4 linked regions of the Saccharomyces cerevisiae S288C genome follow. Changing the gene in region 3 together with the main gene of any one other region gives a genetic interaction. Each region holds a gene or a part of one and is shown on either strand. Other genes may lie near its edges. The genes, in order: YIR016W, PAL1, RQT4 and YHR210C.

Region 1 (5,370 bases), on a different chromosome or scaffold from region 3:
AACACTTTTCAGGTTTGAAAAGAAAAGAAAACGTCAAGAATCTTACGCCAAAAGTGCCTAAGATTCAAGTATCTCTGAAAGGCGTACCATTTTCAACAAGGGGCATAGGTGGCCGCAAACTAGGATAATTGACAACTTAGTTTCATATTGACAATGTCATCGCAATTGAGGAGATAGCCATAATTCGGGAGGGTACAAAACCTGACCTGCTAGTGTTCAACTAATGCATCATGGGTACTATAGAGAGCATTCTAGTGGTAGAAAAAAAAAAAAAAACAAACTTTAAACCGGGTAATATAAACTTCTCATATGGCTTTTCTCCAGGGAAAGAAAGGGAAGGGATACTTCAATGACGAAGGCTTAGATGACAAGCTAATACAGAAAGGGAAAGGAGCAGGGCATCGGAAGGAAATGTTGCATTTGGAAGATGACAATGGACGACAAAGGTCAGTGATAGCGAATTTGCAGAAATTCGTTTATTGCTGCCTGTACTTGAGGTTTATCAAAGATGGATCATTATTCTTGATCCTCCTGGGGTGGATAATTTCATCGCTCTGTGATTTCATTCAGGAATTGACACTCAGGTACCTGAAGAAGAACTATTTAGAGGTGGGCCGCGACAATGATCAGGAAGATGATGAAAGTCTTGCCATCAGAGGGTTAGAAACACCTATTGTAAGAATGATAATAAACAAAGCCATACGATATTACCAAGGCCTAATACTTCTAGAAACAGCGTACTGTATAGTATACCACATTAGGCTAGACGTATCGAGAGACATATGTTCCAAACCGTACGGATTTGTGATAATGCTTTTGATAAGGGAATTTACTTGTCCGGTACCCACAGCGTTTCCTAGCAAGCTACTTCTGGTACTACTCGATATTTTATTACTTTTCTGCCAGATTGTAATAATAAACGGCTCACTGAGCTCGAGTCTTCAGAACGTGAAACTTATTGTCAAGGAGTTGAATGCAGAAGAAGAGGGCGCACTCAACATTCTCAAACTTAATACCTGGCACATGGATGCAACCGGACCGGAACTCATAGTACTCAAGAATCATGACAAGTCGATTCCTCAACAGGCAGACGGGGATGACGCTACAGAGATCACTCCTCTACTGAATATCGCCGAATAAATTCAAGAAAGGAAAAGAAAAAAAATTACCAAAATGAAAAGAACGGAAAAAAAAGATGAACAGAAAATAAAACAATACGTGGTTCTTCTACTGTCCTTCCCACATCGCCGACAGAGAAAAGACAAGCAAAAAGATGGGCAAGAAAGCACACGGAGGAAAGATGAAACCTGAGATCGACGAAAATGGTACTCTGCTAGTACCGCCACCAAGGACGATTGCGAACCAGGACCATTTCCATAGATTAAACTACCTCTACCAAATATCCGCTTACCAAACAAGAGCAAGACAGAAAGCAAGAACAGACGCACATACGCCTTTGGCACGCAATTATATCAAATCAATGGACCTAATTAGTAAGAAAACCAAGACATCACTGCTTCCTACGATAAAGAGAACAATTTGTAAAAAATGCCATCGGTTGTTATGGACCCCAAAAAAACTGGAAATCACATCCGACGGAGCGCTTTCGGTAATGTGTGGGTGCGGTACCGTTAAACGTTTTAATATTGGCGCCGATCCTAATTACAGGACCTACTCGGAGCGGGAGGGTAATCTACTAAATTCTTAGGGTTATTGGTAGGGTTTTGGACCAATGTTTTGAGCAGGACAAAAATGCGGAGTTTCCAGATTTTCTTTAAGAGCCGACCCCCCACCCCCTTGCCCCTATACATGGGGTACGTGCCTGTATTTTGAGGGAAAACTACGACATAAAACACAGGGAAAAAAACGAGACGCCCGTTTGAAGAAGGTAATGTAGGATTCCGTCTTGCCAGCATAGCGGATAAACACCGCAAGGAGGTGTTGTGGTCGGTAATGAGTGGCACGAGGTGTTTGCTAGGCGTCGGACTACCAGTTGATGTGACTGCTACGGAAACTTTGACTCATGATGAACAAGGACCAGGTGTAGAGCCAGGACCGTGTTCGCGAGGAAGTTCTATAGATGGTCTGCTGCCCTCGTTGCTCGGTCCACATGATGATGTGGATGACGATTCGGCGGCTTTTCACAAGTACATGACACTATCGCGAGATGGCGCAGGCGCCATCCATGCTCCGTCATTAGTCGAAGACGCCTCAAGGAACGACGACGACGACGATGATGAAGACGACGACGACAGTTCCATGTCGCGAGACCTATCCAAGGCTCTAGATATGTCATCGTCATCATCGTCCAGCCCGCGCGTTCAAAGTCGGCGGCACCGTAGTTCTGTGAGCGCAATATCTGCAATCTTACACCAAGGAAAATCTGGCCGCGAAGACATAACTGGAAGCCTTAGCGTTCCGGCAGAACAAGAAAAACTCAGTTTTCTTGCCAAAGCCTCGAGTATTTTCTTTCGAAGGAACAGTATGCCCAGAGACAAACATACGCATTCAGTATGTCCCGCTAGCCGCCCAGATTCCGAGAGATTTATCGTCACATCTGCAGCCGCGCAGTCTTTACGCCGCCAACAACAACTGGAAGACGCTCAGTACGCTCGAGTTATTACAAACTTTCGTACTATAGGATGGTGCTCTCCCAGCGAGATAGAGTCTGTGGAATATAAACGGTCCTTGATCAATGCGGAGTGGGACGAAAAGATCTCGCTTTTGTCTCACGCGCAATGCTATAAATAATAAATATACATATATATATATTTATATGTAGATAGATGTGTGTATATATATGCTAGGTAAAGAAACGGAAAAATCGAAAAATCGAAGTTGGAGAGGAAAAACAAGACATCAGGCCCGCACGTTTCGCGGGCTACCTGCCCATGTTCCGTCTCTTAATGTCATTCAACAATTTCAAAGACTTAATCTCGTTAATGTCATTGAGCTTTGCTTTCCAAAACTCATTTTCCTTGTTCAATTGCTCTATACGATCGCGAAGTTTGTTGATTTGCGTGTTTAAGTTCTGCAGCTTATTCATGTTCTCAAAATTCTTTTGTTTCTTGCGAATGCGGAACCGCTGCGACGCCTCTGTGTTCTTTCTTCTCCGCTCTTGCTTAATCTTATCCAGTTCGTTAGAAGTGCTCACGGGAGCTTCCTCTTCTTTTACAACAACTGCTGTTGTTGCGGCAACCTTCCCCTTTCTCGGCTCGCGGAGCTTCTTAAACTGCGAGACATCCTGGCCATTATTTATCATGCTAATGAGCTCCTCCGCGTTGCCACTGCTAACCAGCAGCAATGATAGCAAGCGCGAGCCCAGCTCTGAATCGCTTGATATCAGGTTCTGTAGATGTTCCGAAAGATTGTTCACGTTCATACCCTTCCTGCTTGCAATGTCAATGTTTGTTGATTTCTTTTCCCACCCTTGTTTCGCACTCATATTGACGAACAAAACAATTTGTCTTCGTAACTACCACTGGTTATAAATAGTTAAATTCAAGTTACCTCGTGTTCTTAGTCATTGGCTGCCCGGCCTTGACTCACGCCAGTGACCTACAACTATGGCGTTTCCGCTTCCCGCCCAAAACTGTGGTGTTAGAAAGTAGAAAAAGGTGAAAAAAGCGAAACCTAAAACCAAAAAAAAAAAATAAGTCACGTGCACTCAGTACCCCTTCTATTGTATTTTAGTTTACCTATTGGGCCGGGCGGGCCCCACAACTGTGGCATCTTTCAGATCATTTTTTTCCAGAATGCATGGAACTGACGAGTGAACTTTTATTCCACGGAAAAGGACAAAAAGGTGCAGTAATGGAATGGTCTTTTTGCACGGCAGTGATGTCGCTATCATATCAATCACTGAAAGTGAAGTTAACCATATTACAACAAGTTCACACAACATAAACAGTGTAACTAGCATATTATCACAGTCATGGCTCTACCTCTGATAAAACCTAAGGAGTCTGAGGAAAGCCACCTCGCTCTTTTGTCCAAGATCCACGTGTCCAAAAATTGGAAACTGCCTCCAAGGTTGCCCCATAGAGCAGCTCAGCGGAGGAAAAGAGTTCATCGACTTCACGAAGATTACGAAACTGAAGAAAATGATGAGGAGCTACAGAAGAAAAAACGGCAGAATAGAGACGCCCAAAGGGCCTACAGAGAACGCAAAAACAACAAGTTGCAAGTGCTGGAGGAAACCATAGAGTCACTGAGTAAGGTCGTTAAAAACTACGAAACGAAACTAAACCGCCTCCAAAATGAACTTCAAGCGAAAGAATCGGAAAATCATGCCCTTAAACAGAAATTGGAGACCCTTACTCTGAAACAAGCCTCTGTGCCTGCTCAGGACCCTATCCTGCAGAATTTGATCGAGAATTTCAAACCAATGAAGGCGATACCTATTAAGTACAATACCGCTATCAAGCGCCACCAGCACTCGACAGAACTGCCTAGCTCTGTCAAATGCGGCTTTTGTAACGACAACACTACTTGCGTTTGTAAAGAACTGGAAACAGATCACCGTAAAAGTGACGACGGTGTGGCCACAGAACAGAAGGATATGTCGATGCCACATGCAGAGTGCAATAATAAAGATAACCCCAATGGGCTCTGTAGTAATTGTACTAATATCGACAAATCATGTATCGACATCCGGTCCATCATCCACTGAAGAGAGAGAACTTCTTAATACTTATAAATACGTCATTGAACAGCTCAACTTTTGTAACGTCAAAAGAACGCACATGAAAGGAGTGACATTGCTTTTTTCTTTGCAAGTTTATTACTGTGGTTATGTGTAAAGAATTAGTTCATGGACATTGGCCGCAGAGTGCAAAAGCGTTTTGGACACCCCGCCTTTGGTGTTCTCGCCGCCATATTTTGAGACGTTAGTTTCCGACGAATTGAGCTGAAGCGGTGGACATTATCTCAAGGTACCGCTTACTATGCCTATACATTCCTGCAATTTTTTTTTTTTTTTTTTTGATAAGTATTACTGGGTAATGGGAAGTATAATCACTAGGCATATTATTTTTGACGCAGAGGAGTGGCAGCCTGTCTACTATGTAAATGTAATGGTAGAACCGTTATTATAACGTAAAATAGATCGTACATAAGAAAAACTGGACGCAAACCATTTAAATCTAAATGCGAATATGCGTACTGATTATTAACATGATACCATAATTTAGATCTTTCCTTTTGAAAGTCGTGTCAAATTCTAGTATTGGCGGATGAGATCCTAATGTGCTAAACAATAGAGATAATGGGATCCCCGCAAATTTCATTTTTAAATTGCTTTCCTCTTCTGAGTTGAACACGAATTTTTGAGAATCTAGCTGTAGTTAGACGTTACGCAAAAGAAGCTTT
Region 2 (5,634 bases), on a different chromosome or scaffold from region 3:
AATGAGCTCAATAACCAATATACCAACATGGAAAAACAACGAGCCAAAGAAGCCGGTAATCTTGAAGATTCTGAGATGACTGCCAAGCAAGCCAAGACAAAATTTATTTATGAAACCCAACAGAAAGGTTTTTCTGGGAAAGAGGTTTCATATATCCCGCTTTTAGCCATTGATGCGTCACCAAAAACATGGTTAACTGATTATGGCGTATTTGGGAAACGAGAATATTTAGAAAGGGTATGGGACTCTATAGAATGGAAAATTGTAGAGTCAAGGTTACCTCAACGTACTAAGATCCAAGCATTCAACACGTTATGAATGAAACTGGTAATGGGAATTTTTTCCTTTTGATATAAGTTGGTAGTCTCTGTAAATATATAAAGTCAAACTATTCGTAATGTGTATATAACGTGGTCTTAAATTATTTTTATTCGTATCTCTCCCTTTTATTTGCCTGGCTTTGGTGTCTCATAGCTTCTTTTCTCTCTTTTAAGCTCACTTTACTGACTTTTCCTGCCGACCTTTAGACTTTTTACTCTGCTCAGTAATTTGCTGCCCGTCGATTTCTTTTTCATATTGGGCTCATTGTAGCGCACACCCAAATAAACGTCTTCCTCATCTTCATTGTGATCATCTTGGCCGTCGAAATCAGTAGTATAATTGGACTTATGCGTTCTGTTAGGAGAATTAACGGTTTTCGACCTTCTAACACCTTCATTGCTGTGACCAACATCATAGTTGTCTCTACTTAAACTCAAGTTTCTTCTAACGCCTGTCATGGGGGCATTGCTATCACCGGATCCTCCGAGACCTAATCGTTGAGAAAGTGACTTATTTCTTTGTAAACCACCGTTACGATTATGATAGGAATGGGCTTTTATGTCGTTTCTAATGGCAGCTGAGGAGGCCGGCGCCCCATCTAAAAACGTACTAGAACCTAATCCCGCAGTAACTGGCCCATGAACCAATTCTGTCTTATTTTTGGCATCCATTTGTTGGACGTTACCCACGTTTGCTTTTATTGCGTCCTGCGTATCACCACCTCTCCTTAGAGTCTGCGAACTGTACTGGTATATATCAGAATCATCTGTATCATCTCTCCCAAAAACCTCATCCAGGGCAGACTTCTTGGTTGAAGCGCCACCGATGGTACTGTTTGGACCATCGACCGGAAATGCTAAAACAGGCGCAGCTTTGTTATTTTTATTTCTATGAGGTGTTACTGCATCGAATGGGCCGTCATGATGAAATGAGCCACCGAACAATCCAGTTACATCTAACTTATCGATAGTATCGACGTTCTTAGGAACAATAACCTTACTTTTTCTCTTTCCCTTCTTAGAAGGCGTTGAAGATGAGGAAGCTTCACGGTGATGGTGGGATGAAGATCTGCGTGAAATATATGTGCCGCTGTTGCTATGTTCGCGGTGAGAAGAAGGACGAGAAACCTTTTCCTTTGGATATGCACGCCTTGATCCATTGGTTGAAGTGATCTCTTCGTATGAGGGTGGTAGGTCAGTGTTTTCTCTTGTGTTACCTACTGTACTTACGTCACTTTCCTCCAAATATCTTTGCCTTAATTGTTCTTTTTCTTCTTTAGCAGTGGGATGATTTTTATTCCTTGAAACAGGTGGGGGAGACCTTCTAAAATCGGTTGCAGAACTCACATCGTCTAGGAAAGGATTCTTTGAGGAAAGAGGTCTCGAAGGTGGTGATAAACTACCACTACTAAAGCTCTCCAAACCAGAATAAAAAGCACCCTGCTGATCTGCGTTTCGCTGGGGTTCATCCTCTGGAATGTTTGGGAATGATAATTGTGAAGAAGTTCTTGTGTTCAATTGTGGCATATCAAATGAATTGGTACGAGATTGGTTTTTCGCCCACTCCTGAAACTGGGAGTCATTTTTATACTGATTAATACTTGAATCAACTGTGGCATTTCTAAACGGGTTATTAACAGAAAATGGCCTACTAGAGGTACTACTGTTTCTATTCTCCATGCTAAATCTTGCGTATATGTATCAATTTTTCTAAAAATGGAAAATGCTGGCAAAGTGTAATGGAACCTACAATGTATCAACAATTAAGCAGTCGAAGATTATGGTAAAATGACGTTACGTGTTCGAAGGGATAGGTCTGCAAAACACTTAAATTCCTCGAATAAAAATAACAATAAAAAGAGCGAGGTAGATCGGATATATTTCGGATTCTACACACTATAAAATACAAATTAGAAATTTTACAGAGTTACCTCCCAAGAAAGAGTATCTTCATTTTCTAGTGAATAACCTATCGCCAGTCACCATGATCTGCTGTTGAACCAACCTCGAGGCGGGAAAAAAAACAAAAAAAAAAGTAACGCGATTTACGCTCCGTGCACGACGATTCTTTGAGATGGCTGCCAATGGTTGATCACAAGTACTAGCTTCTACACAACTGGATAAGAATGACGCATATATACTTTTAAGTATGTTGTTATTAAATCTGCTATATAATGATGTTATACGTGCATTGGTCAAGGAGAAAAAGGTTTTATGTTATGAACTTTTGTTAAAACCATTCAAAGAACAATAAGTATCGAGAATATCGAAAGTAGTAGCAAGGAAGCTATACGAGTTACATGTCCAGCTGGATCTTTGTTAAATGTATAAGGACTGCTCAATCGAACGCCTGCTCCCGAAGCACTGCTGGTTCTATTAGTTGAATTTGACCACTCTTCTGAGGCTGACACAGAAAAGCTGTCGAATTGAGTACTGGATGGTCTAGCACTTGTGCTTGCTCTTGAAGTATCATAGAATGACCGGCCCGCACCTGTAATCACACCGTTTGAGTATGCTGCTGTCAGTTGACCTGGGACAGTGAACATATAGCCTGACCTATAGGATGGATAAAGAGTCAAGTTTCTTGTATTACTACTATTCATCACTTTTGCGTAAGGAATGTAACCAGATTTGATCTTCTTGATGATAGTGGACGCGGTAGTTTCATTTGTCTCTTCAGTAACTGCGTCATCTTCAACCTTCTTTGCCTGTGCAATGGCTATAGTGTTATCCTCTAAGTCCATTGCCATATATATATTTTTTATGAAGGCTTCTCCGAGTATGTTTACTCCAGTATTTGTATTAGCGTATAGTGTTAGAAAACAAGCTTCCTGTCCAGAACTGAAAAACATTGAAGAATTGGTGGATGTATCGTAAGTAGATGATAATAAATCACGTAGGGGTATTTCAATTGTCAATTCTCGAAGCCTGAAACCCAAGGAGACACCCATATCTGCTATAGAACATTGGACTAGCCACCTATCTAGTGATTCCACATAAGTGGCCGCAATTTGAACGGCAATCTGAATAATGGTACTAGTTGGCAGGTAACTGACCGAAGAAGTTGAATCAAGTAAGGCTGGGCTCAGAAAGTCCTTCGAAGTCATATTCAAACTTTGTCCGCTGTTAGACACAATATAAATAGGGCCTAATGGCACAATTGGGTACCCAACACTAACAGCATTACTCACTGGGTCAACGTAAGGAATTAAGTCAAATTTTCCCAGTGTACCGGTAAACAGCGAAGGATCCACCCCTCCAAGAAGTAGCTTCCCACAATTAGATATTGGATCTCTATATGTTTTGTACGTGGAAGTGTCTCCAGCCAACCACAGTGAATATGACGAACTTTCAATGATATCTGCATCTTTCAATAAGGATAGAAAATAAGACTGTTCTGTGTATTGTGAGCTATCGATAGCATTGCCTGGGTTTGTGACCTTCCCGCTTAAACCTAACAAGCCTGAAGTCTTAAAGTTCGAGGACTGAATATCAAAGAAGGAAACGTTTGAAATGGATAGGCTCCCCGAGTTAAATTGTACGTTATCTCGAGTTACCATTAAATCGGTTATCAAAGCGGTCGAGGAATTTTCTGAGGAAACATTTGTAAAATTCATATCGTCTGTCACCAAAGTACAGTTAACAGCTCTACCATCAATGAAAGAAATCTCATATATTTGGCCAGGAGAAACAGGAACAGATGATGTAGAGTCATTCATGAGGTAGCTGGGATGCTTATGATATACACCGGAGTATTCGTTATGACTTTCGCTTGTTCCGGAAACCAGATTTATGTACGGTTGGATAATATCCACTAGCAAACGTTGGCGTTGACCGGGAGTGCCAAATGTGCTATTAACATAGTAGTTTCCTCTACCATCTTTACCCACGGCTAGTACAGGAAACGGCTCCTCCGTTGACGAAGAGGTTCCAGACTTTGCTGTAGTTGTTGTATTTGCAGTACTAGCCGTTGCAAACTCTAACTGAAAAGTTGATATGAGCCACAGATACCATAAAATTAGGCATGTCATAGCAAAAATCAACGGCAAATAAAGCAAGCACGCAGTTACGATACGTTCAAAGATCTTTCCAAGTTCTGTATCCTTCTAGAACGATTAGTCTAATGCAACTGATATGTCCAACATTCTAAATATAACTTATTTTGGTATTAGCTGCATCATTCTACCATGATGAGCTGCGGCGTTCAATATCTCATTTTTTTTTGTTCGGGGTAACGAGGTTCATTGTTGCAAATAGCACGACCAAACGAGCGGTATGATACAAAGCACTGCAAGTCATAGCTGAGGTAAAAAAAAAAAGAATGAAGATCTCATTGTTTGGGTTAAATTACTTTCAAGAGCCTCTTTTTTAGGCTCGGTTGGTTAAAAGAGCAAGAACCGAAACACTAGTGCATCAATTTTTATAACAATTTTGTAATTATGTTGATAATTGGCAGTAAAGTTACAAAATACACACTAATTAAAATATTGAACACTTACAATATAAAGCTGATATCAAAATAAATATCGAACAATAAATACAACTCTCTCCAATATCAATATACTGCCGTCGTTATTTAAAAAATTAGCCCACCTGGGAACATTATAGAAAGAGATTTGTTTTTTGGTCTGGCAATGTGTCATAATCAAGCTCTTTGCAATATACATCCCCAACTCATATATTTGTATACAGGAAGAAGAATCGACCACCATCTATCGACTAGCATATTATCATATACGGTGTAAAAAGATGACATAAAAGATGAGAAACAGGGTAATCCCAACAATTGTCTCAATATTTACCTATTTCTCACATTGTCACCGCTCGAAAGTGCATTTTATATACGTTCTTTTGTGACGACTACTTTTGGCGGGAATCTTAGCGCCTTAAATGCAGTGAAAGATTACTCTTTTGAGTTATTGCCTGAATTTTGTCTGCAAAATTGTTATTATTCAGGAATTTAGAATAATTCAACTCTGGAGGCCTGCGCTGTACTACGGGCTCAAGTAATACCGGAGTGTCTCGACAATCCTAATATAAACAGTCTTAGGGAAGTAACCAGTTGTCAAAACGGTTTATCAGATTAATTCACGGAATGTTACTTATCCTATATATTATATAAAATATGGATCATACTAAATGGTGGAAGCGCGGAACCTTGGATCTAAACTGTTGGAATAAGAATCCACTATCGTCTATCAACTAATAGTTGTACTATCAATATATTATCATATACGGTGTTAAGATGATGACATAAGTTATGAGAAGCTGTCATCGAAGTTAGAGGAAGCTGAAGTGCAAGGATTGATAATGT
Region 3 (6,094 bases):
AATTTTCTCGAAAGAGATCGTTTTGAATGCATTTTTACCCATCGATTTCCATTTCGCTCCTCTAGATAAAGTTACTCTGCATCGTATTAGAATTTATCTAACAGAGTCTATGGAATACACTTGTAATAGTAATGGAAATCACGAGAAGGCTCGTAGATTAGAGCCAACTAAAAAGTTTCTGTTGGCTGAACATAACGGTCCTAAACTGCCTCATATACCAGCTGGTTCGAATCCTTTGAAGGCTAAAAATAGAGGGAACATCCTCTTGGATGAAAAATCCGGCGATCTAGTTAACAAAGATTTTCAGTTCGAGGTGTTTGTCCCAAGCAAGTTTACAAACAGTATACGGTTACACCCTGATACAAATTATGATAAAATCAAAGCCCACCATTGGATAAAAATTTGCCTTCGTCTTTCCAAGAAGTACGGGGACAATAGAAAACATTTCGAAATAAGTATTGATTCTCCAATCCATATTTTAAATCAACTATGCTCACACGCGAATACTTTGCTACCGAGCTACGAGAGTCATTTCCAGTATTGTGATGAAGATGGTAATTTCGCACCAGCAGCAGATCAACAAAATTACGCAAGTCATCATGATTCCAATATTTTCTTCCCAAAAGAAGTTCTTTCGTCTCCCGTTCTTTCACCTAACGTGCAGAAGATGAACATTAGAATACCGTCTGATCTTCCAGTAGTGCGTAATAGAGCTGAAAGCGTAAAGAAAAGCAAGTCAGATAATACCTCCAAGAAGAATGATCAAAGTAGCAATGTCTTCGCATCCAAACAGCTGGTCGCAAACATTTATAAGCCCAATCAGATTCCAAGAGAATTAACTTCTCCTCAGGCGTTACCATTATCGCCCATCACCTCACCAATTCTCAATTACCAACCATTATCAAACTCCCCGCCTCCAGATTTTGATTTTGATCTAGCTAAGCGCGGCGCAGCCGATTCTCATGCTATTCCTGTGGATCCTCCATCATATTTTGATGTATTAAAGGCCGATGGGATTGAATTGCCATACTACGATACAAGTTCATCTAAAATTCCTGAACTAAAACTAAACAAATCTAGAGAGACATTGGCCAGCATTGAGGAGGACTCATTCAATGGTTGGTCTCAAATTGATGACTTATCCGACGAAGATGACAATGATGGCGATATAGCATCTGGTTTCAACTTCAAGCTGTCAACCAGTGCTCCGAGTGAGAACGTTAATTCACACACTCCTATTTTGCAGTCTTTAAACATGAGTCTTGATGGGAGAAAAAAAAATCGTGCCAGTCTACACGCAACATCAGTGTTACCTAGTACAATAAGACAGAACAATCAGCATTTCAATGACATAAACCAGATGCTAGGCAGTAGTGACGAAGATGCCTTTCCCAAAAGCCAATCATTAAATTTCAATAAGAAACTACCAATACTTAAAATTAATGATAACGTCATACAATCAAACAGCAATAGTAATAACAGAGTTGATAATCCAGAAGATACAGTGGATTCTTCAGTCGATATTACAGCATTTTATGATCCAAGAATGTCATCAGATTCCAAATTTGATTGGGAGGTAAGCAAGAACCATGTTGACCCAGCAGCCTACTCGGTTAACGTTGCTAGTGAAAACCGTGTACTGGACGACTTTAAGAAAGCATTTCGCGAAAAGAGAAAATAAGTACATTATTTTCATTCTCCGACAGAATTGCTACCATTTTACTTTGTGTCCTGTGATTCAATAGTGTACAATATATTGGACATTTTATAGTATACAAATATACACCATCAATCTATACATCCATATCACTTGTCGTAAAGATATCCCTTTTTAATAGTACAGCGATTAAAAAAATAACATGATTAACGTTCAGTTACCAATGAGCTTATTTATTAGGCTTGCTTTAGATTTTTCCAAGTCAATTTTTGTTTTTTCTAACGCTTGCAACCTCATCTCAACCTTCTTCCTTTGCAAGCAGATCTTCGAAACCATCTCGTTTATTCTCTCAATGCTGTTCCCACTTTCATCATCGTCTGGGAAAAGTACCGGTAAGGGCGTGATGATTTTCTCATTCGATTTGTTTATATTTCCTTTGCTTAAAAGCTGGGTTTCCCATTCTTCATTAGTTCTGTAGGGCACTTCATTTATGGCCTTCTCTATAATCTTTCTTTTAGAATCCTTTTGAATAGCAATTTGATTATCCGTGAGGGCTAGCATTTCGTCTTGAAAGCCTTGCATTTCATCGTCACTGAAGTTCGTAATCTCCTTTTCATTGTTACGTTTCAGACCACCATTTAATCTTATTGTCTCCATAATTTCGCGTTTATCCTCACTGTCCAACAATTTTACATAATCTCTTTCTGTTGTAACATCACTCTCACTAATTTTCCTTCTAGATAATGACTTCTGTGCTTTCAGTTTTGCAATTTCTCCTCGGGTTGGTATACTACTAATGTGCTCACCTTCGGAGCTACTGCCAGCCTCTGAAGAATCACTTAATAGATGATGATTCCCCTCCATCAAGTCCTCCATATTGAGAATTAGCAAATCATCTTTGTTTCGCGTCGATGCATTGGTATTTTTCTTTGAATGGTAAAGATCTTCATAATGCGAATTATCCTCCTTTATTGCTTGTTCGCCATCAAAGGTAATGTCGCGCTTAGGAACTTTTTTAAACTTTATTGGTTGTAATACACAAATGTCGTTGTCATCATCTTCAGAATCGTTCGACACTAGGGGCTTAATTTGCTGCATTGGCTTATGCGCAGAACCATCAATTCCAACCTCCTCAGGAGAACCACTTGGTAACCTAATTTTATTTCTTTTCTTGATCGCCATAATGTGTTCAAATGCTATAACATTGCTAGGCAGAACTTGACGTAACTCGACCAGTTATATTGCTTCTTCAAAGCACAAATTTATGATGATTGCTTTCAGTTATGAGGTTCATTTCGATATTCTTTATGATCTTCGCTTGCCGGGTATCGGACAAATATTGAAATATTATACAGCAAGAAAGAGGCATAAAGAGCCTGGCAGCAGCAAATAATGGCAAAGTGAACGTAGTCCGAGAAACAGTGGCTTAATTATTTAACCTTGGGTTTGCAGTAATTAATAATGACAAGAAAGCAGGCTATTGACTATGCAATCAAACAAGTTCCGCAAATATTGCCTTTGGAAGAGTCTGATGTAAAAGCGCTGTGCGAACAAGTACTGAGTACATCATCTGATGATCCAGAACAAATTGCTTCAAAATTTTTGGAGTTCCTAGGTCATGAAGATCTATCGTTTGAATTTGTAATGAAGTTCAATGAATTATTGAATCAGAATGATAAAAAAGAGGAAAAAAAAACGAAAAATGTGCATCTTGAACATACTGCCCCCACTTCATGGAAAAATGAATCAAAACAGCCCACTAATAACTATATCAATAAGAAGGGAGATGAAAAACCAAAAAAATTAAAGGATGAGAAGAAAAGCTCGACAACGAGGCCTACCGTTCAACCATCAAATCAATCTACGCAATCAAACCCCATAAAGGAGAAAAAAGAGCACAGATCAAAGGGGAAATTACAATCGTTACAAGAAATAGACGAAGCAATCAAGATGCTAGAGCTTCGAGATAGCGGTTCTTCTAAAAATTGTAATTGTCAAGGTACAAGGCATCCAGTTTTCGACATCGCGCCAAACTGTCTTCACTGTGGTAAAGTGGTTTGTGTTATAGAGGGATTGAATAAAGGTAAATGCGGTCATTGCCATGAACAGTTGATTTCTGATAACGAAAGAACCCAAATGGTAGAAATTTTAAATCAGGAAAAAAACGAACTAAACGGTTCATCATCGTCCTTATCCAATGCGTCAAATGGAGCTAATGTCCCAAAGAAGAAGACTAAAACCTACAAAATAACTTCCGGTATGGGTAAAAATTTATTTGCTGAACAGGACAAATTATTTGATTTCATCGAAAGGAAAAGAGAAAGAGAAAGAAAGCGTAATGAAGTGTTGAAATTGCAGGAGGAAAAAGAAGAGAGCGAAGCAAAGGAAAGACAAGCGAGCGAGCATGACCATAAAGCTGAGGAAAACCCGGAGTTGTTAGCAGCACAAGAACGATTAGATAGACTTTTATATTTCCAAGACACTTCGGCAGAAAGAACAAAAATTATTGATAATGCCAGCGATTTTGACATGAATCAGGAGGTGGGTTTATGGGGCAGCGCAAGAGAAAGAGCTCTTGCGTTGAAGAAGCAACAACGTAATTTGAGAAAGTGGGAAAAAGTAGAAAAGGAACGGAATGGCAGGCGCGAGAAGTACGTTGTTAGCATGAATATAGGTTCAAACGGTAAAGTTACTATGACAGAAGTCCCTAAGGATACAGAGAACGTAATTGCAGGTTCAGATGATGACATCAGTGATATAAGTGACGAAGAAGATATCAGCGACCTTAAACATATACACGCTCTGAAAAGTGAAATAAATACAACGAAATCCTTGGAGAATTTGCATTTACAGTCCAAAGCATGGGATTACGAACGTGATAAAAAACAATTCGATAGGCCTACGTATGTGAAAAAAAATTCAGATACTGCACAACAGAATAGAAAAACGGAAGAAAAGGCTCACGACATGCAAGCTTATGATTTAAAGTCAAGAGTACAAGTGGACCAAAATGCAGACGCATCAGTAGAACAGAATATTCTTGCTGTACTTTGATGAATGGTAAAAGTTTATATTATATATGATAGAGGATATAACCGTTATTCATTTTCTGTAGATTTTATCATTTTCTTTGTCTTCATAGTATACAATTTTTTTTTATATGAATTAATGCTTGTTCTTGTCTATTTAGTAGTTAAACTCACTTGCTATTTGCTTCTCTGCCATACGAGCCATACGAAACATTTTATTTTTAGAGTTTTCCTTAGTTGGCTTCTTTTCACTATTACCATCCTTACTACTTTGCAATCCCATAGCCTTTGGCCTTTCACGTAACCCAAAACTTTTAGCTAAATGGCCTAGATGTAAGAACTTCACGTTGAAAAACTTCTTTTCTTGAGAGATATGCGTTGCGTAAGCCCTCACATGACTAATGAAACCTTTAACGGCCAAATTTTTGAATGCGGAATCTCCCACTACTCGTCTTTCTATATTCAAATGCCATGTCGTAGCATTGGTATCCCACTCATATTCTTTATCGCCCACGTCTTTATTTTTGGACGATTTCTCATCTTTTCTAATGAATTTATCATTTCTGTTGACATTCACATCTTTGAAAGCCGGCATTAGTATTTCTTTATCGAATTTCAGTAATTCCCAACCCATCGGATGATACGGCTGGATATAGTCCATATATTTTTCTTCTTCGCCAGGAAGTAAAAATAACAAACTTTCACCCTTCTCACCGGCCCTTGCTGTACGACCAACTCTATGTAAATGGTCTTCAACAGCAAATGGTGGATCCAACTCAATAACAGATCCAACGTGGGGAAGGTCTAGGCCTCTACTTGCGACATCTGTACAGAACATAATAAGATGTTTTCCCTTGGTGGCTTCATTATCACGAGCAAAATGCTGCAATGTAGAGGTTCTCATTTGTTGGGATAAAGAACCGTGCAATTTATAAATCACTACATCTGGGTCCCTAGAATCTGAAAAACAAGGAAACATAGTGTTTCCTTTTGTCAATAGTCTTACAGAATCACCCGTTAGATTTTTATGGTGCCCGTCACTTCCTGAAAATGCGTCATAATGAAACTCCACGCTGTCTGAACATGATACGAATACGATTGTACGCAGCGTTTTGGACTGTTGACCGGAAGCGATGAAATCTTTGGTAATGTTGTTCAAAGTAGCAGCTAATGTTACAAGACGCAACTTTGGTGGGACAATAGTAATCCTCTGCAATAGTTGATCGGGCGCAACCGTTACTATATCAGAATCTTTCTTGGTACCGTTGCTAATCAATTTGTAATCTTTCAACGCCACGTTTCTTAACCTATTAACACCATCAGTAAGTGTAGCACTACATAACATGTGCACTAACTTATGCGGTAGCTTGGGAAATTTTTCGGAGTTGATGGGAATATCGTGAACAAT
Region 4 (5,432 bases), on a different chromosome or scaffold from region 3:
GAAAGTAAAAAATGTAACGCGAGATAATCCCGTGAGAATCCAGAAGCTCGAGGCTACATGAAAATCTCCCGGAAAGAAGAAAATTTTCAAAACCTTAATTAATAAGGTTTTTTTGCGTAAAAAAGGTTCGATCGCAGGCTGAAAACAAGCCGCAAGTTAATTATAATCACCTTGGGCCAAACCGTAGGAAAGTTACCAGGTGAATTTAAATCGGCTTGAAATCCTTTCGGAGTATGATTCCAAGGTTGGGAAGGAACAGTGCCTCGATTCTTGAAAATGGAACCATACTACTTATTAAACTTCTCGCAATAAATGAGCAAAAGTGCTTCATCATGGCTGCACTTCTAAAATATGAAACCCTCTTACCTGTAATCACTAAAGAACTGGCTATTAAAAACAGAATTTTTTACAAAAAAGAAAGAGGCTTTTCGTAAGGTTTTCCCCTACTTTATTCTTACTACGCGCTGGGCTGGGTTGAAAGTGCCTAAATTCTAGTGTTTTGAAAGTCACCTAATACTGGTGATTTATCTTTTGTTGTGCAGCACTGCATGTGCGAATGGTCCATGATGAGAAAGGCACAAAGACTCGAGCTCATCATTTCCTGGTATTTTTAGTGGGGATCTATCAATAAAGGCGGCTTGTCAACTTGACACACACAATAAAAGACCTCATTTAATTTTGTTAAAAGAACATTATCTGTTAAACACGCTGTGTTACTGACATTGTTTCATAAGTAATAAAAGATCTGACTATTATCTTATCCATACCAGTGTTCTGTTTGACAAGTAGCTGCAACCGGAAGTTATTCCTTCTCCACTGCAAAGATCGTTTAATTGTCCCATCCTGCGCGATCACGTAACATGCTATGAACGTCGGGAAATTTTTCACTTGTGAAGTCTTAGAATGTGTAATCATGTAACTGAGGTTTCTGACGACTAGTAGCATATTTGAACTCTATTAGGATTAACACGAAGTTCTAATGATTTTTCTTTCTCGGAGTTAAAAGGAAACCCGAACGTTTGTTGCCTCTAGATTTTTTCCATATATTTTCCATATGTTCACTTTTAGCAATCGCCTTTGCTTGTCTGATTTAGTTGAAAACAACAGCATTTGATATTCATGAAAGTCTATTAAAGGAAGAAAGTAAAGAAACTTTCTTCGCCTGTTTTCTTCCTAGAATACTGTTATACCAATAGAAATTGAAGGTTTGGGAGAACTTTTGAGAAACTTTTTTAAATTTCAAGACCTGTGCTTTGAACGTGTCTCATTTCTGCGTACAATGCCAAAGTTGGAAGGTTTTCTTGCGTATGGTTCTAGTTCTTTGCCAAATTATTGATTTCAATCACGCTTTAAAGTTTTTTCTGGGTTTTCTCCACATAGGATAGTGACAAGAAGTGCGGTAGCCATGTGGTTTATTGCAGATCACAGTATGAAGGACCTTCAACTTACCTTATTTACTTATTAACAGGAAATTAAGCGTCATAAAAAACTACAGCGGTGATAGGAGCTGTGAAAGGATCCATATTGCTATCGTGAGTGAAAACGAAGACAACCTGAAAATAAGTATTTTTCCGCCGTTCTTCAACGATGTATTTAGATATCAGTCGATATTAACGTATAGGAGGAGGATCGATTATCGTGAAGATAGAAAATAATGACCGAAGAAGATTCCCTGGTAGCGCACACTTCAAACTAAGGGTTGGTCTCCGGTAAATATCAAGATTTGTACATTTGGCTAAGTGCTGGAACCCATGCAATTGATCTTATTGTGATGATTTGATGATATTCCTCCGTCAGAAAGTCCTAGAACACAACCTCTGGATGAAAACAGAAAAGAAAAATATGCAAGATGTTCAAGTGCGCGCGGAGCAAAAAAAAAAAGGAACAGAATACTAAAAGAATACGTCGCGAATCTCGTTATTGACAAGGCATGTTTGGATGAAAACATGTAATGCCCCATTCAGCTTATTTTTCAACATTTTCAGAGTAACACGCAGAAGAAGACTTTGTTTTTCCAAAACCTCCTTTTGCACTCAAAAAGAATGCCAGTTCAGCATGGCATATTGGAGATTATTTTTCATAAAACTGTAAGAATTGTAAAGCAAAACTGGTGCACTGCTACATCAACTCTTATCTTCTTGCATATAAATTTAAATGAAAAGGAACTACTTTGTAATTATCGATATTACATTGAAACCTATGAGGAAGATTATGACATGATAACACTAAACTATTGCTGGCCAGCACCCGAACCGAGTGTCCAAATTGAGTTTTGAATCAGTTTTCAGCTCAGAACAGATTCCCCTTTTCCTTTATTAGGTCGTATCATCATTCTATGTGCAACTACTGCAGCATTTGCGTATAATTATGGAAATAAAATTATACGAAAGTTGATACTTGGTTGTAAATGGCCTAAGAATCGGAAAAAATGGAATTCTATTGGCATGCTATCTTGTTTAATGAGATTATGAAGTTGAATATCATTTCTGCGTTTTGCATTCAAACAATATCATTTCAAAGGCCTATCGCTGTGAGCAATACGCTGGATTTGCTCATCGCACAGTAAGCCTGCACTACCCCACCAAATTACAAGAATATAGTAGAGATCAGAAGCTTATGAGAAGTCACTTCCAAAATTCGCGTTGTCCAACATCCTTGGAATAATTTTTCCTCCTTATGCATCCAGGTGATTGACACTTTTTGACGGGATAAATGCAGGTGGAGGTGGGGGAGGGGTAAAGTTTCGTAAAGAGTGTCAGGTCGCATATCTTTGCACTGCGCAGAAATTCTCGCAGAAAATTACGCTACGGAGAAATTCTCGGGCACTAATATCGTACAAAAATTAGGTTTGTTACGTGATAATATGGCCTTGTACCTGTTAAGTTTTTCCGACAATTAGTTACTAGCTGAATATCTTAAAAAAAGGTAAAAGTAACTCCTCCATGGTTTGGTTATTCATGCGTAAACACCTTGGATGCTCTGAGATATAAAATCAGAATGTACTACGAAGTACTGGAACTCAATTGTACATTATGTTACTGCAATAAGTAAATTCACCTAAAAAGCCAAAAAGTGATAATGTCAAATAATAAGGCTGGCGGTGAATATGAAGTCATCACTATTGGTGATGCAAAAAAGCTTCAAGCAACAATTTCAGAGCTTGGCGCTACTTTGCTTGACTTGAAAGTGAACAACGAATCGATTGTTCTAGGATACCCTGATATTCATGGCTATATATCAGATGGCTACAACTACATTGGTGCTACTGTTGGCCGTTATGCAAATCGTATTTACAAGGGCATGTTCAGTATGGAAGATGGACCTCATCAGTTGACAGTGAACAATTGTGGAAACACCAACCACAGTAGCATCAGCTCCTTCCATCTCAAGAAGTATAAGGCATCCAAAGTCCAAAATCCTCTTGATGACCTTTACATTGTTGAATTTACGTTATTGGATGACCGCACACTGCCCAATGAATTTCCGGGAGATCTAGCTGTAAACTTAAAGTACACATTGAACGTTGCTGACATGACCTTGGACTTGGAATACGAGGCAAAACTGGTCAGCGGTGAGGCTACTCCCATCAACATGACGAATCACACGTACTTCAATTTAAACAAAACTATGGATAAAAAATCCATTAGCGGTACGGAGGTTAGGCTCTGCTCAGATAAATCATTGGAAGTAAGCGAAGGAGCACTAATTCCAACCGGTAAAATCGTTCAAAGAAAAATTGCTACTTTTGACTCCTCCAAACCTACCATTCTGCAGGATGATGGCCCGATTTATGACTACGCTTTCATTGTTGATGAAAATAAGAATTTGAAAACGACAGACTCAGTAAGTGTAAACAAGCTCGTCCCTGCCTTCAAGGCTTATCATCCGGCATCACGACTTTCATTGGAGGTTTCAACAACAGAACCAACTGTCCTATTTTACACAGGTGACAACTTGTGTGATGGATTTACGCCGAGATCTGGCTTTGCCGTTGAACAAGGCAGATATGTTGACGCAATCAACCGTGATGGATGGAGAGACTGCGTTCTTTTGAGACGTGGTGAGGTATATACTTCTAAGACTCGATATCGTTTTGCGGTGTAGGCACCAAATTTAGTTGTTTACTTTGCACTGTCGCATTATTTTTCTATAAATTGAGCTTTTTATAATGAGATATGATCCGGAAACAGCTTTCTGAAGTGCATATGTTATAGTTAATATTAAGAATTTTTTGAGACTTTATTATGTTACCATGATTGCATTATCTTTTAATGTTAACAGTAACAAGTTTACGTATCGCTTTAAAACATAATTACATTCAGAGGTCGGAATTTAGAGCCAATAAAATTTTTAGAGCATATGTTGACGGTTTTAAATTACTCCCAACTGCGCAACAACACCTTATTTTCTTTTTGCCATATTTTAATATTTATTAGCATTTGGGAAATATTTAAAAAAAGAAAAAAATCAGCTTTTTATATATTTCTTTTAATTTAGTAAACCTCATTCTCTTTTCCTACATAAGTAATAAAACGTTGACCACTCTATTTTTAAAGGTACATTCAAATCTTCACAATGACAGATTTCTTTGAGCTCGTTAATGAATATATCGGCAATATCCGGTTTCGAGGGATTATCTCTAGCCCAAGAAGTGTATATGCTCCAGCTTTTCACAAACTCTTTAAATTGATTGAGAGTAATAGCTGCTCTCCAGAGAAACTGACTGTTTTCAGCCGTTACTGTTGATGCATTTGGGTCCGAAGGACTGTAAATTGTGACTTCAATATCTCCAAATCGATCTGACAATAAAGAACGTAGCTTTTCACCACCGTAATTCAACAAAATTTCCCGTTGGTTGTCGTTCAGATATTTACCCATATAATCCTTGCTCCATCCATATTTGTAATATACATTCAAGGCTTCGGGAAAGTCCACAAATTCCGGCTGAATATAAAACCAGAATGCAAAAGTTCCATCACTTCGTAATATAGAGGAAACCTGCTGAAACAGCCTTTCTAAATTGCACCAATGGATGGCTTCTGCTGAAATAACCATATCTACACTTTCTGGTCGAATGCTGGATAAATCTTCACCAGGCGCATTAATAAATCTAATCTTTTTATCTAATCTACGTTCATTTGTTTCTTTCTCAGCAATCGAAAGCATAGCAGAAGAAGGATCAATCCCAATCACTTCCTTAAAATAGGGTTCAACGACAAAAGTTGCTTTTCCTGTGCCACATCCAATATCAACCAAACTTTTGCGTGTGCCTTTGTGAAATTTCATTATCTCATTGACTAAAGATAAAGGGTAAGAGGGACGTACGTTATTATAGTGAGCAGATTCAAAATTTTTGTTTAAATAACTAGTTTTAGGCATTCTGGATTCTTCCATTGACAGAAGACTGGCTTTGAAGATGTACTGAGTGTAAA

What was found.
Region 1: mutations in RQT4 (region 3) and YIR016W together harm fitness more than expected from each alone (negative genetic interaction), as found in Saccharomyces cerevisiae (2 studies listed by BioGRID).
Region 2: mutations in RQT4 (region 3) and PAL1 together harm fitness more than expected from each alone (negative genetic interaction), as found in Saccharomyces cerevisiae (2 studies listed by BioGRID).
Region 4: mutations in RQT4 (region 3) and YHR210C together harm fitness more than expected from each alone (negative genetic interaction), as found in Saccharomyces cerevisiae (2 studies listed by BioGRID).

The regions. Positions count from the first base shown.
Region 1 is NC_001141.2:380,675-386,044, forward strand, and holds YIR016W (uncharacterized protein), read left to right. Parts: upstream 1-1,953; coding exon 1,954-2,751; downstream 2,752-5,370. Other genes in the region: VLD1 (Vld1p), read left to right, coding at 412-1,140; ribonuclease P protein subunit RPR2, read left to right, coding at 1,274-1,708; MET28 (Met28p), read right to left, coding at 2,882-3,445; YAP5 (Yap5p), read left to right, coding at 3,935-4,672; YIR018C-A (uncharacterized protein), read right to left, coding at 4,890-5,027.
Region 2 is NC_001136.10:1,169,826-1,175,459, forward strand, and holds PAL1 (Pal1p), read right to left. Parts: upstream 2,001-5,634; coding exon 501-2,000; downstream 1-500. Other genes in the region: mitochondrial 37S ribosomal protein mS43 MRP1, read left to right, coding at 1-318; YPS7 (putative aspartic endopeptidase), read right to left, coding at 2,561-4,351. UniProt on the Saccharomyces cerevisiae protein: Involved in the early step of endocytosis.
Region 3 is NC_001143.9:480,301-486,394, forward strand, and holds RQT4 (Rqt4p), read left to right. Parts: upstream 1-3,118; coding exon 3,119-4,711; downstream 4,712-6,094. Other genes in the region: ALY1 (Aly1p), read left to right, coding at 1-1,681; NTR2 (Ntr2p), read right to left, coding at 1,871-2,839; DBP7 (putative ATP-dependent RNA helicase), read right to left, coding at 4,844-6,094.
Region 4 is NC_001140.6:519,384-524,815, reverse strand, and holds YHR210C (aldose 1-epimerase superfamily protein), read left to right. Parts: upstream 1-3,078; coding exon 3,079-4,104; downstream 4,105-5,432. Other genes in the region: CRG1 (S-adenosylmethionine-dependent methyltransferase), read right to left, coding at 4,504-5,379.